Oryctolagus cuniculus: one gene and its partner. The protein of the gene in region 2 interacts with the protein of the main gene of each other region in a biochemical or structural test. Links are inferred from orthologs where the notes say so. Each region holds a gene or a part of one and is shown on either strand. Other genes may lie near its edges.

Region 1 (2,668 bases), on a different chromosome or scaffold from region 2:
TTTGTTACTTTTTGTATTCCTATTTGTTTGTTCTTTTCGCCCCGCCCCGTTTGGGCGCACCCTCTGATCCACGTTTCCATGGTGCTGCCAGCTCCTCCGACCACCACCCCCAACTAAGAGCTCTCCGCACCCGGGACACGGGCAGCCACAGTCACCCCAGTCACACTGTGGCCTCCATGATCGTGGAAAGGTCAAGCCTGGCTCGGACAGCCGAGGCTCTCGGTGGAGAGAAAGTGAATGGGCCCCACCCAGGGCCCGGCCAGCCCCTCCTCTCTCCTGGTACCGGGAGCACTTCCGGGAGCCCGAGAGGCTCTCTGTCCCACTTGGGAGGACCTCAGCCATCACAGCCCAGCCCAGCCCTGGCTCCCTCTCCTCCAAGCTCATCCCAGAGCCTTTCCTGAAGATGGCTTTGCCCAAAGGCCCCCTAGGAGCGAGCAGCAGCCTTGGGTGGGGGTGGGGGGCTCCTCGGGCCTGGCGGGTGCAGGAGTCACTCTCAGAGGCTGACCGTGCACAAGGGCTTCTGCCAGCTGGTGCATCACCAGGCCCAGGAGGGGTCAGAAATCACTGGGAAGCCAGGACACAGGGTAGGTTAACAAAAAAAAAATATATTTATCTTACAATCACCCACACTGGGTGTGACCCAGACAGGCCCCTGAGGGGTGCCTCCACCTTCCCCAGTCTGTCTTCAGCCCTTGAGAGCTTCATTGTAGATCATGGCCAAGGCCCCCAGGAAGGTGATGTATTCCTGGAAGTTCACCTCCTGGTCCTTATTGCGGTCCAGGTCGTCCATCAGCTTGACAATCTCAGCATCCTGCAGCTTCTAAGGAGGCAGAGGGGACACGCCGCTCAGTGGTGAAGAGGACCCCCACTCGCTACCTTCCCGGGCGGCCCTCAAGGGTTCCCTGCCCACTTATCACCAGGGACAGCATCCACCCGACTCCTAGGCTCCTCACTCAGTGGCGTGAATACCAGGCTGAGAGCACCCCCTGCCCCGCCCCCGCAGGAGAGTGGGACCAAGGCTCAGTGAAGCATATGGACCAGGACCCTGGGATGTGGTTATGTGGGAGTCAGGTGCACCTGACACACCTTCGGAACCCTGTTCCTACCAGGTGCCAATGGGCGGGGCCTGGGGACAGCTACTCACCGAGCCGATGGTGAGCTCCTTTTGGATTAGTTCCTTCAGTTCCTTCTTGCTCAGGGTGTGCTTGTCACCCTCCTTGCCAGAGTACTTGTGGAAGATGCCGATCAGGAGGCCAATGGCCTGGTCCAGGGGGCTTGCCATGGTTTCAGCTGGGCTGGGACTGGCAGCAGAGGGGCTGGTCAGTGCCAGGGCGGCAGACTCTGCACTCCCCACGCTGCCTGCCCCAACACCCAGCCTTGGCCACTTGGGGTAGCATTAGGGGAAGGGGGTGAGGAGAGGCCGACCTGGACCAGGGAGCAGGTGCCCCCAGGTGAGGAATTGTGAATTACCTCCAGGGCATCCAGGGGAGGCCGCAGAGTGTGGCTGGGCTAGGATGGAGGGCGGCAGCACACACGGCCTCTGGCACAGCCGGCCAGGCCACACACCGCGGTAGTGACACGCCCGGGACACACCCTCCCGCGCCCCGAGAGCACTCTACAGGGAGCCAGGGGATGCCTTAGCCCGGGGCCTGGCTGGCGTGGTCCAGACGCTCCTGCCCGGGAGCTCCACAGACAGACGCGCCCGGTACGGACGTAAACGCCTACCGCCCGCGGGCCAGGGCAGGGAAAAGGTCCCGGGGCCGCCCAGGGGAGGGAGGACTCACGGTACTGCAGGCTGCGCGGCGCGGAGGGAACGGTCAGGACCTGGGCTGGGCCGCGGCCGGGCGGCCTTATAGCGGCTGGCGTCGGGGAGGCCGGCGGGGCGGGACCCACCGCACGGCCCACGGCCCGCCCCGAGCCCCACCCTGCGCCCGGACTTGCACAACCCGCCCCCGCCCACCCCCCCACCACGGCTCCTCCCGCCTCCTGCTCCGAGTTGGGACCGATAGCCGGATACGTTGGGGAAGTACGGGGGGCCTAGTGGGGACCACTGCAAGCGGTGATGGGGGCGTTTCCCTAATTTTTGTAGCTCGACGTGCTTTTCGTGACACGTGACACGGCGTGGGGGAGGGGAGAGGAGGAAGAGGAAGAAGCCCCTGGTCAGTCCTGCATCTTCCTTAGCCACCTAAGCACCAAAGCATGAAGATGTCCCCGGAGGCAGGGTCCCCGGCGGGGAGGGTCGAAGGTGGGGAATCTCACAGCATGCAGGTGCCCCCCCCCCCCCAAGATGTGTACAGCTCCGGCCCCGCCTGGAGGAAGAAGGCTGAGCGGCTGGTGATCTGCAGATGCAATGTTTAAAACACCCATTCCCCTTTCCCCCACCAACAGCGAATCCCTTCCCCCACTGCCAGGAATGGCGCTGGAGCCTCTGCCAGTTACTGTGCCCACACGCGGGAGCCAAGCCCAGGAAGCATCATTAGTTATTCACACTCCAGTGGAAAGTTTCCAGATTACCTCCAGAGAGAAGATTTTGACAGGGAGAGGGAAGAGAAAAAAGCGGGAGCCCCCAAGACCAATTTGCGGAGTGGAGGTGCTGGGGGGACATGGAGGGCAGCGAAGGGCTGGCCTGGAGGCCACACTGCCCCGGGTGAGACCACCACTGGGAGCC
Region 2 (3,647 bases):
TAATCCCAGGGACCCCATTTTATCGTTGACTAGCTTCAGATCCTTCAGCACCGCGCTTCCTCTCTTGCCTGTAAACAAACAAAAAATGACCAGGATTAAAGTGACTTTCAGAACGCAGCCTCCCCCACACACCCGTCCTCCCTTCAGCAGGAGGCTCCTTCATCAGAGCAGGAAACCCAGAGTCAGGGAAAAACCGCAGACGGGTTAAGGACGCTCACAGGACGCACGCCCTCCCTTCTGATCACACACCACGCAGACGTCGCGCTCACCAGCAGCTCGGAAGTCTGCCCTGTGCCTGGGGTTATTTTTATCAGTGCTGTTTTTCCTGGGGACTTCTGGACTTTGCTTCCACTCATCCAGCACTTCATCTACCAAGCTGACCTCTTGTCACTTTCACCTCTTAGTCCTCAGTTCTCAACACCCTGTCCACGTCACGTGCAGTCAGAGTGACATCATCGTGCCAGCCTGGCCTCTTTCCTGAAGGCGGCAACAGCCACAGACAAGAGCATGGCGAAGGCGCCATGAGCCACATTCTGGCACACTCTGGCTACCAGACGCTGACGAGAAGCCGGAGACCACTTCTCGTGTGCTGCAAGCCCCACGGTGACAAAAGCTTAGGAAGGACTGCACAATCAGGCAAAACACTGCAAATACTAGTCAATCTATTTCAGGAAAGTCCTGCAAGAGACGCACATGTATGCTCTAAACACTGCCAATCACATCCTGTCTGGTGTGACACAGCACACAAGGTCGGTCTGCAGATCTACATTCTTTAAAGATTTATTTATTTATTTGAAAGAAGAGTTAGAGAGAGAGAGAAAGCCAGAGAGGTCTTCCATCCATTGGTTCACTGCCCAGATGGCTGCAATGGCCAGAGCTGCGCCAATGTGAAGCCAGAGCCAGGAGCTTCCTCCAAGTCTCCCACGCAGGTGCAGGGGCCCAAGGACTTGGCCATCTTCCACTGCTTTCCCAGGCCACAGCAGGACTGGAAGTGGAGCAGCCAGGACTCAAACTGGTGCCCATATGGGATGCTGGCACTGCAGGCGGTAGCTTTACCCACAATGCCACAGCACCAGCCCCTACATGTTTGTTTTCAACTCAGCACTGTCACCACACTTAGGAGGGAGGGGAAGGGACGTGGTGAAGGAGTCTGGCTGTTCCATGTCTACCTCCTCATCTCTACTTCTGTAAACCTAAGAGACATGTGAGATCCCAGTCCCTGAGGGCAGACGACTGCTTCATTCAACCTTCCTATAAAGATTACTGCGGCATCACAGAACAAATTTCTATAAATAACTGAACCAGGGGGCAGCACTGTGGCATAGTAGGATAAGCCTCCATCCCCTATGGACGCTGGTTCAAGTCCTGGCTGCTCCACTTCCAATCCAGCTCTCTGCTGTGGCCTGGGAAAGCAGTAGAAGATGGCCCAAGTCCTCAGGCCCCTGCACCCACAAGGGAGACCTGGAAGAAGCTCCAGGCTTCTGGCTTTGGACTGGCCCAGCTCCAACCATGTAGCCCTTTGGGGAGTGAACCAGCAGACGGGAGACCTGTCTCTCTCCCTGTCTCTTTCCGTAACTCTCAAATAAATCAAATCTTTACAAAATGAATCAAGAAATAACTGAACTTAAATTCAGCTCAATTAATTCTAAATGTGCGAGAAATGACTTAAAAATTATTATATCTATTCCTTGACTTGAACTCATCTCAGGGTGAAAATCAGAAGCCAGAAGTGCACTGAACAGGCCTATGCTGCTAACACCCTCACTTAACAGCGCAGCACACGGCAGAGCCGCGGCCTTCCCTCTGCTCACAGGCTGACTGGGAGTCCCCGCCTGAAGTCTCCTGATGGGACAAGGAAAGGCAAAACGATACAGAGAATGCAACCGCTTCTGAAAAAACAAAAACACACGAGATTTTAACAGGAAACATCGAAATGATAAAGTTATGGGCTATATTACGATTTTCCTAGGAAAAGAATCCACAGTCATCGTATCCTACTTCACTGTAGAGAAACGCACCTGACACAGATACTCACTCTCAGAGTCTTTCAAGGAGGGGGCTCCCTCCAGTGAGCTGAGTCCACTCCGCACGGGGGGCGCGTCTGAGAGGGGGGCCAGGCTGCCCACTGGCCTCCTAGCTTCACTTCTCCTGACAAAAGGCACGCGACAGTTACATGGCAGTCTCAGCGCCTGCCACCGAGGGAAGGCACAGCCCTCAGCCCAGAGCCCTGCAGCTGACACCGCTCGCAGACCCACAGAGCCAGCCAGAAGGAAGCAGCTCGGCTCTCGGCGGCTCCTTCCCTCTCCCCAGCCACACGGACTGCTCCAGCCCGCCCTCCCGGAGACATCTCAGGAGCCCTGTCCCACCCTCAGGAAGGCAGCCGTGAACAGAGGAGCCCACTGGCAAGCCTCCAACAGCCAAGCTGGGGACGTGCCCTTCAGCGGACAGCGCCAACCATGAGGGCTACCGATACTGCACAGCAACCCAGCCCCCACAGCCCCTTCCACACCTCCTCTAACCCCTCACATCTCCAGTCCTCCTCCTCTGGCCTCACGCAGCTGTGAACTCAAGGAGCGGGTGCACACGTCTCGCCCTGCTGACAGGGGCCACTCCGCTCGTCGTGAGGACAGTGAAGCCACTGCCTCAGACCCTGCAGCCCGCCCGGGGAGCCTGACTGACGCACTGGCTACTCTGGTCCCAACTCTGCTTCCTGCTAACGAGCAAAGACCCTGCGAAGCAGCAGGTGACGGCTCAGTGCTTGGAGACCCAGACACAGTTGCAGACTCCCAGCTTCAGCCTGCCCAGCCCTGGCTTTTCAAGATATTTTGGGAGTGAACCAGTAGACAGAAGATCTCTCTCCATCTATCTCTTTCTGCCTTCCCAATTAAAAAAACAAATTACGACAAGACATTAAGGGCCAGCATTGTAGTGTAGTGGGTTAAGCCACAGCCTGCAGAGCTAACATTCCATTTGGGCACCAATTTGAGTCCTGGCTGCTCGACTTCCAATCCAGCTCCCTGCTAACGCACTGGGAAGGCAGCAGAAGACGGCCCCAGTGCTTGGGCCTGCACCCTTGTGGGAGCCCTGGACGAAGCTCCTGGCCCCAAGCTTCAGCCTGGCCCGGCTCCGGCTGTTGTGGCTGTTTGGGGAGTGAACCCGCAGACTGAAGATCTCTGTCTCCCCTCTTTCTCTTTAACTCTTTCAAATGAATAAAACTTAAAAATTAACAAAAAAAACCAGGAGCGGCACGGCACCTCAGTGCGCACGGTGCTCTTCGCACGCTACCAGCCGTTCAGTCCCACATCCCGCCCTGCAGCCACCACCTCTGCACCCCTCACAAAACTCATCAGAAAACCAACGCGCTCTCTACAATTCCTGACCCACTCCAGTCCTTCCAGGCATCCCTGTCCTCATTCGAACAAAGCAGCCTGAACTCCATGGCTGAATCTGCTGAGGGGTTTCCAGCACATGTTCACAGGGCCTCTTCCAGCCTCTCCTCCCTCTCTCTCTCTCACCTCCCTGGCCCCATCCAGCCTCCCTCCCTCCCCCCTCCCTGGCCCTGTCCAGCCTCCCTCCCTCCCTCCCTCTCTCTCACCTCCCTGGCCCTGTCCAGCCTCCCTCCCTCTCTCCCCCTCTCTCACACCTCC

The links.
Region 1: the proteins of CEP43 (region 2) and S100A6 form a complex in vitro, tested with the Homo sapiens proteins (2 studies listed by BioGRID and IntAct, with this or other methods). The link is inferred for Oryctolagus cuniculus from reciprocal best matches to the Homo sapiens genes CEP43 and S100A6.

What each region holds. Positions count from the first base shown.
Region 1 is NC_091438.1:44,763,649-44,766,316, reverse strand, and holds S100A6 (protein S100-A6), read right to left. Parts: upstream 1,302-2,668; 5' UTR 1,283-1,301; coding exon 1,145-1,282; intron 821-1,144; coding exon 686-820; 3' UTR 586-685; downstream 1-585. UniProt on the Homo sapiens protein: May function as calcium sensor and modulator, contributing to cellular calcium signaling.
Region 2 is NC_091436.1:2,051,223-2,054,869, forward strand, and holds part of CEP43 (centrosomal protein 43), read right to left. Parts: intron 2,149-3,647; coding exon 2,036-2,148; intron 69-2,035; coding exon 1-68. UniProt on the Homo sapiens protein: Required for anchoring microtubules to the centrosomes. Required for ciliation.